Linked DNA regions of Xenopus tropicalis. The protein of the gene in region 1 purifies or fractionates together with the protein of each later gene. This does not show direct contact. Links are inferred from orthologs where the notes say so. Each region holds a gene or a part of one and is shown on either strand. Other genes may lie near its edges.

Region 1 (7,027 bases):
ATCCTACATGGGTTTCCAAAGGAATCTGGCCTATTGCTGGGAATATGCTGGGATTCCTATCTATATTGTTGTCTTTGGCCACTGGAGACAGGGCTATAGGGGCAATAGATAAGACTTTGGAGTGAAGTCACAGCCGTTTCTACCACCCTACCCCACCCCACACCCCCCCCATAACTTAGCTCCTCAACAGAGCAATCTATATCCAGGCTACAGTTGTCAACCATGCTTTGTTGGCTTAAAGCCACAGCCAAATAAATGACATATTTCAACGGTCTTATTGTAAACAAACCCTAAGGCCCTGACATTAAGCAAATCCTGTTACAGAAAATCTCTAGTATGAGAAATCTTCGTAAGCAAAAAAAGGCGAGTCTGGCGAAACAAATACAAACACACGCTGGAAAAAAAAAGGGCTCCTAGAGTTTCAGCGGCGGAATGAATGGAAGCCATTGTGGCACTGCTGGATAAACAGGTGCAGCCTTTGAGCGGAGATGAAAAGATAAACAGGCAGTTTGATCGCTTATTGTTCCCTCACTTGTGTCCTTGCACTGCTCACAATCAGGCCCAGAGAGGAGCTTTGTGCAGGGGAAATCAGAAGTGGTAACTACAGGCACAATAGTGATAAACGTGTAAGAAGCGGTGTCGGTCCGGCAATGTAAACAAATGCAAAACTGCATCAGCTCAGTGCTTTACTGCATTTATATAGAGTTTCAGCTCAGCCCTCATTCTTGTTTTATCTACCTGCAAAACTGTATGCGATTGACTAAAGCTGGTCATACACTGTAAGATCCACCTGTTGGCAAGGTCGCCAAGTGAGCGGATCTTCTCCAGATATGCCCACCTACGGGCCCCGATCCGACGTAAAAATTAAACCTGCCCGATCGAGAACTATCTGATTTCAGGCCAGATGTCAGTCGGTGAGGCCCGTCGTTAGTGCCCATACACGGCCAGATAAGCTGCCCAATATGTCTAAAGGACCAATATCGGCAGCTAGAATTGGGGCGACCTCCTTGCCCCATGCTCCTGCACAAGGCTGACCCTGTTCACCTTTCAAATAGCACCCCAGCAGCCAAAACGCTATTGCTCTGTGAGGCTACAGTTTTATTGTTACTTATTTTATTATTCTCTTCAGGCCTCTTATATTCATATTCCACTCTCTCATTCAAACCACTGCCACTAGGGTAAATAAGACCCTAGCAATCAGATAGCTTAACTAAAACACTAAAGGTGGCCATACACGGGCCAATTGTAGCTGCCAATATCGGTCCCTTGGACCCATTCGGCAGTTTATCGGCCCGTGTAGGGGCAGGAACGACAGATATTTGCCCTGAGGCAGGTTAAAAGATTTAGTTGGACCGATTGCCCCATTGCTGCCATTATAATTTGATCGTTTGGCCCCAGGGCCAAATGATCGAATTAGCCTACATTTTCCCCGATATCGCCCACCCGTAGGTGGGGATATAGGGAGAAGATCCTCTCGCTTGGCGACCTTGCCAAGCGAGCGGATCTTCATGTGTATGGGAACCTTAAGGGTGAAGACACATAGGTCTACTAGTAGCAGCTACTTGTCACGGCTACTAAAATAGACAATGTTGATTATTTACTGATAATTGTTTCTATGTGTGTTTTAGCAGAGGAAATCTTCAGTACTGTCTATGGCGTTTTGTAGCCGTGACAAGTAGCTGCTACTAAGTAGCTCTGTGTGTCTTCACCCTCAACAGAGGAGCTGCTGAATAAAAAAACTGGAAAAAAATGAAGACCAACTGCAATTGTCTCAGAGTATCACTTTTTACATCATACTAAAAGGTCAATGGCACCATGCTGGAACGTTTATACAAGTACTGCTGCCATCTTGCCCTACTACCACCAATCTTGCCCTACGCTTACCATCTTGCTCTAGTGGTGCTACCTTGCCCGACCATGCCCATCCTGCTGTGCTATAATGTACATATTATGCCCATTTTTCCAACCTACCTCTGTAGTTCAGCTGGGTCCCTTTACTGTCCAGAGTTCTTATTTGAACCCCCTAGAGAGGGCTCTGTGCAGACTGTGCTGGGAGCCAGCAGTGCAAACTGGCTTATATTGGTGAATATGGGTGCTTCCCATCCCTAGGGCAGTGACACCCCCATTCCCCAGGATCTGCTCAGCTACAGGTTTGGTCCTGCCTGTCAATTGATCCCATACAATGACTCTTTATACAGGCGCCAGTGCTAATAAAAAGCAGAAAAACAAAATGCAGGTAATTACACGATGCTGCAGTTCTGCATGCCAGGATCTGAATGGGACTCGGTGAGAACCTCTTTAGCGGAACAGAGGAGGGTACCACTTATCATTGCTTTTATAGGCAATACATTCATTTGTATCTAAACTACAGCTCCCAGCATCCTCTTAAACAAAACTGATTGTAGTAAGTTGCTCTACTAAAGCCTCATAGATCCGGTGTCCTTACATGCTATTATGATGACAATTACCCACAAGTGAGGATAAACGAGCCATTTATATTTTATATTCTCTATGGGGGTTTTTGAACTATTGCACCAATCATTGTCCAACTACAGCCCCCCCATCATTCCTTGGGAGTTGTAGCTGAACTGCAGCTGATTGGATCAATGGCCTGAAACCCTAGAATAGAGTTATTACAGGTATAGGACCCATTATCCAGAATGCTCAGGACCAAGGGCATTCCGGATAAGGGATCTTTCCGTAATTTGGATCTCCACACCTTAAGTCTACTAAAAAATCAATAAAACATTAATTAAACCCAATAGGAATGTTTTGCATCCAATAAGGATTATTTCTATCTTAGTTTGGATCAAGTACAGGTACTGTTTTATTTCTACATAGAAAAAGGAAATCAGTTTTAAAATTCTGAATTATTTGATTAAAATGGAGTCTATGGGAGATGGGCTTTCCGTAATTCGGAGCTTTCTGGATAACGGGTTTCCGGATAAGGGGTCCGATACCTGTATAATAAAAAATCATAACTAAATTCACTCCTATTGAGAGGCTGCTAACAGTGCCAGATGTGCGCCACAAATCATTCTGGGGCCCCCCTTAAAAAAGGTAGTTCATCCTTTTAGTATGATTTAGAGAGTGCTATTCTGAAACAATTTGCAATTGGTCTTCATTTTTTTTTATTTGCAGTGTTTGAATTATTTTGCTTTTTGTTCAGCAGCTCTCTAGTTTAAAACGTCAGCAGCTATTTTGTTGCTGGGGTCCAGTTTAGCCTAGCAACCAGGAATATGGATAGAGGAGGGCTTAACTAGAAATTAGTAATCAGTAATAAAAAGTGACAATAAAATTGCAGCCTCAAAGAGCAAGGGTTATTTAGCTGCTGGGGTCAGTGACCCCCCACTTTGAAAGCCAGAAAGAGTCAGAAGAGGAAGGCAATTCAAGAGCTATAAACAATAAAGACCTATTGAAAAAGAATAGGCAATTCGTTTACCTGAAGGTGACCCACCCCTTAACTTTAATGCCCCACTGGGACCCCTATATCTCCAGGGTGCCTCAGGTTCTTACTCTGTAGTAATGTCCCTGATTTCTGTGAAGTGCATCAGCCCCCATACAGTATAATGGGACAGGAATCATAATGTTATATATGAAATATATGATATTAGCAGCACAATAAACCTGACAAGTTCCTTTTTTCATTTTTACAGAAAAATGTCCCTTTTTCTCCCCCCGCTGAGATTTCTTTTAGCACTTCCTCCTGTGCAGAGAGTGCTATGGCAGCATCCAGGCACTGTATGTATATATATATATATATATATATATATATATATATATATATAATTAGTGAGGAGAGATAGAGCGCTACAGGGAGCAGCTCTGCATTGCCCTGGGGGTAAATAGAGGGAGTGAAAGTGACTTCAGCCCTTGCGACCTGTGACCCAAGCGCTGTACTAACACAGAACTGAATGGAACCCGCATTCAATCAGATTGCAACATACAAGATGTTCCACCAAATGCATTTATAACGTTACACAATAATAGTTATGGTTTTACAAATTTCCCCTGCACTTCCATAGCCGCTGAAGGCTTTCAGGGAGTGATGAGAGTTGCAGTACAAATGCACAGAGCTGCACTCTATATGCAATACCTGGCCAACCCCGCACATGGCTACAGCCATTGAACAATTCTTATTATTAACATTTATTTATAAAGCGCCAACATACCCCGCAGCGCTGTACAATAAGTGGGTTTCATACATTGGACATACAGAGTAACATATAAAGCAACCAATAACCGATACAAGAGGGGAAGAGAGTCCTGCCCAAAAGAGCTTACACTCTACAAGGAGTAACATATAAAGCAACCAATAACCGATACAAGAGGTGAAGAGAGCCCTGCCCAAAAGAGCTTACAATCTACACAATTATAAAATCCATTTATGGATGGAAAAAGGAAAAACTTTTTTTTTTTAAATCCCCCCCACCTCCCAACCCAAGCACCCCTCTAGGGAGACTTACCTTACGGGGGGCTTGTATTGCCTTGTGCTGAGTAGCCGTTACCCCGGCTCGGCAAGGGATCTCACACTCTCAGGGCACAGATTAGGGGAGCAGCCATCAGCGCCTGTGTGTTCCAGCGCAGCACAGTCAGTTCTGCCTGGGGAGCCGGGGCCCCACCTACCTGTGAGTCAGACACCTCTCCACTGGGTGACAGCAGGCAGCACACAATCACATACACAGGGAAACCACATTAACCTTTGCAGTGCTCCCTTCCCCCCCCCCCCGTTCCATTGGCTGAATTGAATGCTTTGCTGGCAATTTCAAGGAAAGGGTTAAATAGCAAGTGTATATATAAACACAAGGCAACAGGTGAGCTTAACCCTACCTGTGCCAACCCCTGCCTGTGCCAACCCCTGCTGGGTTATAAAGGCCCTGTGCCTGAGGTGCTGAGCAGCCCCCTGTATTACAAAACATACACTAATGGCATTAAATCTGAGGGTGATTAGTACATAGCCCTAGGCAGGGTGTGACCGGACATAATGACGTTAATAGTTAGCTAGAGCCGGAGGGCTGAATAGGAATCTGTGCACTTGTTGATCCCATGGAAAAGCAAGCAGGGTGGGAACTGCGACAGGAGCATTATAAAGGCACCCAACGGGAGCAGTATAAAGGTGCCCAACGGGAGCAGTATATAGGTGCCCAACGGGAGCAGTATATAGGTGCCCAACGGGAGCAGTATAAAGGTGCCCAACGGGAGCAGTATATAGGTGCCCAACGGGAGCAGTATATAGGTGCCCAACGGGAGCAGTATAAAGGTGCCCAACGGGAGCAGTATATAGGTGCCCAACGGGAGCAGTATAAAGGTGCCCAACGGGAGCAGTATATAGGTGCCCAATGGGAGCAGTATATAGGTGCCCAACGGGAGCAGTATATAGGTGCCCAACGGGAGCAGTATATAGGTGCCCAACGGGAGCAGTATAAAGGTGCCCAACGGGAGCAGTATATAGGTGCCCAACGGGAGCAGTATAAAGGTGCCCAACGGGAGCAGTATATAGGTGCCCAACGGGAGCAGTATATAGGTGCCCAACGGGAGCATTATAAAGGTGCCCAACGGGAGCAGTATATAGGTGCCCAACGGGAGCAGTATAAAGGTGCCCAACGGGAGCATTATAAAGGTGCCCAACGGGAGCAGTATATAGGTGCCCAACGGGAGCATTATAAAGGTGCCCAACGGGAGCAGTATAAAGGTGCCCAACGGGAGCAGTATATAGGTGCCCAACGGGAGCATTATAAAGGTGCCCAACGGGAGCAGTATAAAGGTGCCCAACGGGAGCAGTATATAGGTGCCCAAAGGGAGCATTATAAAGGTGCCCAATGGGAGCAGTATATAGGTGCCCAAAGGGAGCATTATAAAGGTGCCCAATGGGAGCAGTATAAAGGTGCCCAACGGGAGCAGTATATAGGTGCCCAAAGGGAGCATTATAAAGGTGCCCAACGGGAGCAGTATATAGGTGCCCAAAGGGAGCATTATAAAGGTGCCCAATGGGAGCAGTATAAAGGTGCCCAACGGGAGCAGTATATAGGTGCCCAAAGGGAGCATTATAAAGGTGCCCAATGGGAGCAGTATAAAGGTGCCCAACGGGAGCAGTATATAGGTGCCCAAAGGGAGCATTATAAAGGTGCCCAATGGGAGCAGTATAAAGGTGCCCAACGGGAGCAGTATAAAGGTGCCCAACGGGAGCAGTATATAGGTGCCCAACGGGAGCAGTATAAAGGTGCCCAACGGGAGCATTATAAAGGTGCCCAACGGGAGCATTATAAAGGTGCCCAACGGTAGCATTATAAAGGCGCCCAACAGGAGCATTATAAAGGTGCCCAACGGGAGCATTATAAAGGTGCCCAACGGGAGCATTATAAAGGTGCCCAACAGAAGCATTATAAAGGTGCCCAACGGGAGCATTATAAAGGTGCCCAAGGGTTGGTACCGGTGCCTATTCTGGGAGAAGCAAGGGGAATACATGCAGGCAGTGCCCAGGGCAGATACAAACAGGCTGCCCTCCTCCCTAAGCACCGCTGCTCCACACCCTTTCTCCTCGCAGGGGTAAAGTTCAGCTGTGCCTAATGCCTGAGTACTTGGGCACAGCCTGGAGTCTCTGGGGCCAGGGTTACTGTCTCTTTCTCTCTAATGACTGCTCCAATTAGATTATGGGCAGGAGGTTTCTGTCTCGGGGGAATAAAGTGCATTTTCCATGCAGAAACCATAAGCAGCTCAGTACCGGCTTGGGCGGATGAAGGTCACCTGAACGCGACTATGATTTTATTTTCCACAGCCTCCTCAGGGCCAGTATAAGGGTAGTGGAAACTTCATGTGGTTAGTGATGGGGGGGAAGGACAGGTACAAGCACAAAGCTTTAGGTTGCACATTTTATGTATCCCCCCCCCCCATGGGGTCCTCAGCCTCCCTGCATTGCTAGGGACCCCCCATCTCCCATAGCGGCAACCGTAAGTCTCCTAAAAGAGAGAAGAAATACAAGCGATTTCCTAAAACCTGTAACATATCATGCCCGGAGCAATGTCGCTGC
Region 2 (6,927 bases), on another chromosome or scaffold:
GCGTTTCATGCCTAGAACGGGCACTTAATCATACCAATGTTAAGTGCCCACTTTAGGCATGAAACGCATTAGGCAGCTCTTGTTTTGAGATGTTCTTTCTTTAAATAAAAATGTTTTAACTGCACCACTTCTTGACTATTTGGTCCAGTTTTCTTTAGTGCCAGCCTCATGTTTTTTCATTTTTGAGGTATTTTGTTGTGGAGGATCATGTGGACTACATTGAGGAACAAAAGTATTTGAACACCCTGCAATTTTGCAAGTTCTCCAACTTAGAAATCATGGAGGGGTCTAAAATTCAAATTGTAGGTGCATTCCCACTGTGAGAGACAGCATTTAAAAAAAAAAATTCAGGAAATCACATTGTATGATTTTTAAAGAATCTATTTGTATTGCACTGTTGCACATAAGTATTTGAACACCTGGCAATCAGCAAGAATTTTGGCTCTCAAAGACCTGTTACTGTGCCTTTAAATAGTCCACCTCTCCTCCACTCATTAAACTAAATTAGTAGCACCTGTCTGAGCTCTTTAAAGACACCTGTCCACCCCACAGTCAGTCAGACTCCAACTACTACCATAGGGCAAGACCAAAGAGCCGTAAAAAGACACCAGAGACAAAATTGTGGGCCTCCACAAGGCTGGAAAGGGCTATGGGGCAATTGCCAAGCAGCTTGGTGAAAATAGATCAACTGTTGGAGCAATTGTTAGAAAATGGAAGAGGCTAAAGATGACTGTCAGTCTCCCTAGCACTGGGGCTCCATGCAAGATCTCACCTCGTGGGGTATCACTGATGATAAGAGAGGTGAGAAATCAGCCCAGAACTACAAGGGAGGCACTGGTCAATGACATGAAGAGAGCTGGGACCACAGTTTCAAAGGTCGCTGGTCAACTTTCCAAGCAGGCTGACTTTGCTATTCAATCCCAACTTAACTTTTCATAATTTTCCCCCTAATTAATAAGGTAACTTCTAATTATGATTTCTGTGAATGTCTTTGTATCACTTTACTTCCCAGGCCAGACCTTAAGTATAATCAATCTTAAAGGACATGTAAAGCCTACATTTACCTACAATGTATATCAGTTGGGCACGTCTCCCCCACCCAAATTGCATCATTTGTACTGCATATATCCCCTCCGCTTGTAAGCACCATCACATTTTCCTAAAGCAAATAGCAGCTTTCACCCGGTGACCCAGATACATTTAAATCTGCAAACAGCATACACACACACAAACCCTTATTCAGCATACATTTCATCAAAAATACAGGCTCACACAGGCACAACTGTCTTTGATAAAAGTTCTGCTTTGTTTGAGCACTGTAATAGTAAAGCTGAGCTCAGGAGGAACTCGGGAGGAGGAGAAGGAAATCTAAGTGATTAAGGGGATGTTGCAGCCTTACTATTAACCACTGGACAACCAGTGTGGCAGGTATTGAAAGATTTCGAAGAGGCTATTCACTGGTTAAATTTTTGTGTGTAGGGTTTACATGTCCTTTAAAAGAAGATTGACAGATATTTGTTGTGGGCTCTAGAATTTGTCTGCTCTGACAGCAATTTGGTTGCTGCCTATATGGTAAGTCACATCACCCACCTTCTAGAGTCTGATATAATTTCAAATGGTCATTCTGCATATGCTAATGGCTAGTTGTGGATTTTGTGCTGAACATTGTTTTTCATGAATAAAATAAGCAAAACGTAAGTTTTTGTTATTTCTAAAGTTAAACAGGAGAAACAAGGAAACTGAAGATTACCAGTACTCAGATAATTCCCGTGAACTTCAGTTTAGACCAAAACAGTCACAAGTGCACAATATGCCTCTTGTATCGGTTACTGATTGCTTTATATGTTACTCTGTATGTCCAATGTATGTAACCCACATATTGTACAGCGCTGCGGAATATGTTGGCGCTTTATAAATAAATGTTAATGTAATGTAATGTAATATGCCAAAGGTACTCTAACCATCGTGATACAGGACCAGGTACAGGAGGTACCCACAGCACTATTTATCAGTCCAGTTAACCATTCAGAAACATTCCTGAAATTCCATAATTCACTACATGACACAAGTAAAGCTGCTACCTATACTGCTACAAGGAAACAGTAGCAGTGTAGCAGAAAAGCTCAAAGATTACAGAAAAGTTTTGCTTTAAAACCTCTAATTGCTGTCTAAGCAAACTGGATAATGAAATTATTAAATACATAGGGGCATGGTACCCAGAAGGTTGTATTTTTTTTAATTTCTGGTAGACATTGATATTAATAAAGGTTGAACTACAACACTTTGGCAAGAGCAATGTTACCCCTAAAAGAAAACACTTTCTGCAGATAAACTCCTAATTGCTCATTTTTTACAGATGCAAATTAATGCACTGCATATTATAGCAAAATCAATCCTACCTTATCAATCATTTTAGAAGGGTCAGTCTCCTCTTGATTAAGCAAATCCCATTTATTAGCATATCTCACTTTGTCACCTTGGTCATCAACATGCCTTTTATTACAATCAGAAACAGAGGGGATTTCCAATTCATCACCTATGACTCGTTTTTTGTTTGGTCGATGTCCAAGACTTCCAGAGCTTCTTAATAACACATTTTGTGATAACATTAATGGTGCACAGGGTTCTTCTGATTTTTGTTTCAACAACAATTTTGCATGCTGTGTGCTGTGGATCACTCTGTGAGAAGATGTACCAGACTGTGAACCTATTGTTAATAGTTTGTGGTCAGTTGAAGCAGCTTTTACCTTTTCAATTCTTGACTGTGGTATAGGATAAGGTGCTTCTGGACCAGCAGCACCTGCATTCTGTGTAAAAGAATATGAACGCCTCTTTCTAGGATGGTCATCATCAAAAAATTCTATCATAAAAGCAGTTTGACTTGTTTCTTGGTGTTTTCCTGAAGAATGGAATTTTATGTTTAACTTTGTTTGTTCAAGATTTCTTGGTCTTAAATGTTCATCTAAGTTCGTACACTTATTGAAACGTTTGTGAGCCCCACTATTTTCATAATCGCTTTGTGTTCCATCATCGTGTGTGTGCCCTATTTAGGAAAAACCAGAGGAAAAATGAATAAGACACATTGTGAATAGAACACTGATATTAATATTTGGGGAAAAAGAACAAGAATATTAAAATACCAAAATGAAGCAGGTTTTAAATATATATACATTTTTACTTTTACCCACACATGGCTCAACTTACAAGCTGCAATTAGAAGCAGATTCTTGGTAGTTTGTTTCTTTAGGTTTTATTTCAGGTTTATTACGATTTACAGGTTACAGATTTATGGGTTTGCTATTTTCTGCTAGGGTTTCAGTAAATATCTTGTTATGGCATGATCCAGTTGTTTATTGTCCTTATCATGAGTTTCCAGCTTTTCCAGATGATCTTGTATACTGACCAGCGAGTCCAGAGTTCTATTTGTCCTTTGCTGCCTAAACACTTATTCTAAACTTCTCCTTTGCTCTCCCCAAACACACTCAGCAGCTCTAAAAGTTCCCATATACTGACAGATATTGACTCCCAAGTCAGCAGTGTATCAAGCCAGCTTAAATTTCTGAAATATTGTATTTCCCATTTGGTTTTGTCTAATGAATATATTAAGAGCCGAATGTATATTGATCTTACTTAAGCCTTATTTTCAGAAGCTTCTGTTGCAGTATTACTGGCTAATTTCACAGCTAAAGCCTTGAATATAACAGTTATTATTATTATTACAAAATTCCTTCCATGGGTTACTCCTCCACAAGGCCAGTATGGTCTAGCAGTCCAGGGGCAATGGGCTACAGCAATGGGTGATAAGCCAGATAAAAAAAGAAAAGAGCTGCAAATTGCACTCACTACTGAAGTACAAACTCAGTAGCTCCTGTAGAGGGATATCTAAAGCTGTGCCAGCACATTTATACCCCTAAAGTACCTGTGCCCAGGCCCGGATTTGTGATGAGGCCACAAAGGCCCGGGCCTAGGATGGCAGAAATTTAGGAGCGGCATGCTGCCCAGCCACAATGGCACCCTATTTAGAAGTCCGGCCCTGCCTGTGCCAGCAAGCAAGTAATAATGTTCCCTGCCATATGAACAAGCAGCTGACAGCAGCACAGAGAATGTAGTGAATAAGCAGAAAAGAAGATGGGGAGCTACTGAAGGGCATCTTTGAAGGCACAGATCTTCACTGCTAAATGGCTGTGGTTGCCTAGGGCTTGTTTAAAAGCCATAAATATAATTTACAACATTTTGCCCTACTTCTTTTGTTAAGATCCAGTTCTCATTTAAAGACAATGAGGACAAATAGCTATTCATTCTGCTTTGTTTCTTATTATGGTGTAGTGTATAGTAACTATTTAGATGCTACATCTGTCAAATTTTTATGCCAGTGGGTTGTGTTGTCAACTCTAATAATAATTCTGGCAGGATCTGAACTGAGTCCAAAAATTTGCGAAAGGACATGAGATCAATGTTATCAAATTTACTCTTGTCGTGAGTTTTAGCATTTATTATTTAAGCCATTTATGTATCTTTTTGGCTTTATTTTCTAAGATCAAGGTTAAAGTCAGTGTAAATTTTGTGTGGCTTGTTGTTGTCTCAACTTGCCAAGTAGGTGAAGGTGTCTTTGGCCAGCTTTAATTGGTATAATTTGGCCCATGCAGGTTTATGTGTTTTGTAAGACAAGGCTATGGCTCTTAAAGTCAAAGATTTGTCCAAAGTCAGAAATTGTTTGTTTTGTTTGTAAAACAGAGGGTAATAAGTGTTTGGATATGGAAAGCAGAATATCACCTTTAAATGCTATTTCACTGTCATTTATTTATTTTTTTAAAGGTTTTTGTAAGAATTTACATTATGACAAATAAATTGGGCCACAAAGCTGCTCACTGTATAGTTCTTATGCTAATACACTGGGAGTGTTTTCTCTTGTTTGTAGAATATAATGATATAAATGAAATATTAAGGTTGTGCCTCAACCAAACACTTTTGTTTCTTCAAACTCATGTGTGCTATTAGGCAGTTGGGCATTCTGAATAACTGATTCATGCTAGAATGAACTTGTGAAACAAGAAAAATGAGGAAGAATATGCTAGGCTGAGGAACTGTTAAAAATAAATATTTGTACAAAATTACACTACAGTAGTTTTTGTTTAAACAAGAACCATATGACATGCAATGGTGTGTACAATTTTAATTGTTCTTATTTAGTACACTCTGAAGATAATGAACTGGTGCATGTTTAAATCAGACATAATTCAAAACACTATACAAATATCAGTATATGATCTACCTGCAGAATTCAAGGGTCCGGGGATTTTCCAGAAGGGGATTTTTCTGTAATTTATTTTTACCTTAAGTCTGTTAAAAATTTTTTAAAAATGGCGAGGCCCGTTTAATAACATTCGGATTTTCATGTTTTTTATTCAAATTTTTTTAAACTAAACTCAAATTTAAATGAAAAAAAAAAATAAACTCAAACATCATTTTCATGAATGCCATTTATCAAAAGATTAGAATTGAAAAAGCACAAAAGGTAAAAAAAGTCACTAAAAAATGTGACTTTTTTGTACTGTCATACAAAAGCCAGCACAAAAAAACCCTGTAAAGTTTAAAAATAATGAAGCAAAAAAAGATCTGTAACTGCCACTGACTTTTTGCATTAAAAATTGTCACAGCTTTGTTGCATAATAAATCACTACAAAACTAAAAAAAAAAATAGAACCAAATAAAATTAAACTTTAGTAAAAGCCCCAGTTGACGTGGTGAGCCGATGAAAGATTTTCTGTTGATGATTATAACTTGAAGTGCTCCGAAAACACAGGGATTTCCTTACCGTCTTTTCTGACATAAAATATATAAAACAATATAAACTATTGGTGTTTAGTATATTACCTTTCAGTCTCTTCAGGTAAACTGGAACATCACTTTTAATACTCTTGGTATCTTCCTCAGGCACTTCTTTTCTCAAACATGGTGGATTGTTTTGTGCCAACCAATCTGCAACTTTACTTTCTGCAGCCAACATCTCTGTTTGTAATGCAGAGAGATCCTTGGCGCAAGATGGTGATGTTTTCTTTGATTTCTGTCGATAATCTGGAGTGAATTTTGTAACGTGATCCTTAATAGTTACTTTACCTGGAGAGTTCTCATCAAACTCTATTGTAAATGATGCATGTCCTGCACCTAGTGCATGAGAGCAATGTGTGTCCTTCGTTGGGATTTCATGGATAATGTTCTCTTCAACATCAGATTTTTGTGGAGATTCTTTTGTCGGTATCTCAAAGTAACTTGGCTCCCTACAAAGCAGAAATAATGTTTCCTCTTTCCCTGCTGTGCCCTCATCTCTATCTTTCTTAGTATCCTTGTTGTAGCCTGCAAATAAAATCAGTTAGACCACTTTAGACCTAAGATTTAACTGGACAATCAGTAATAACAGTGACTCAAGACCTGTATTTATATATACACAGGTATAGGATCTATAATTCTGACATGCTTGAGGCATGGGTCTTTCTGTAATTTGGATACACATAACTTAAGTTTACTGAAAATAAATAAACATTTAATAATCCCGATACAGATTCATGCAGCTTACTCAGAATCAAGGTACGTGATTAATCAAGCCAATGTGCGGACACTTTGTCATATACACATACATACACAACACATTTTGTGGGTACTTTCATGGTAAAACATTTTTTTTTTCAAAATGCATCCGTTAATAGAGATTCTCCAGCAGAACCCTGCATTAAAAACTGTTTTTTAAAAATGCAAATGGATTTCTTTTATATTAAATTCTAAAATTTTATATTGACCTAACCATATTCTTCATTTCCCAGGTACCACAACCATGTGACCTGTGCTCTGATAAACTTTAGTCACACTTTACTGCTGAGCTTAAATCTGGAGTGGTATCACTCCCCCTCCCTTAAGGGGGCTATACACCAC

The links. Proteins that work in one complex are often made in the same cells at the same time.
Region 2: the proteins of ccdc68 (region 1) and cep170 purify together in Homo sapiens (co-immunoprecipitation; 3 studies listed by BioGRID and IntAct, counting the BioPlex papers as one, with this or other methods). This does not show direct contact. The link is inferred for Xenopus tropicalis from reciprocal best matches to the Homo sapiens genes CCDC68 and CEP170.

Annotation. Positions count from the first base shown.
Region 1 is NC_030677.2:203,220,872-203,227,898, reverse strand, and holds the start of ccdc68 (coiled-coil domain-containing protein 68), read right to left. Parts: upstream 4,716-7,027; 5' UTR 4,467-4,715; intron 1-4,466. UniProt on the Homo sapiens protein: Centriolar protein required for centriole subdistal appendage assembly and microtubule anchoring in interphase cells. Together with CCDC120, cooperate with subdistal appendage components ODF2, NIN and CEP170 for hierarchical subdistal appendage assembly.
Region 2 is NC_030681.2:57,385,550-57,392,476, reverse strand, and holds part of cep170 (centrosomal protein of 170 kDa), read right to left. Parts: intron 6,355-6,927; coding exon 5,875-6,354; intron 3,044-5,874; coding exon 2,400-3,043; intron 1-2,399.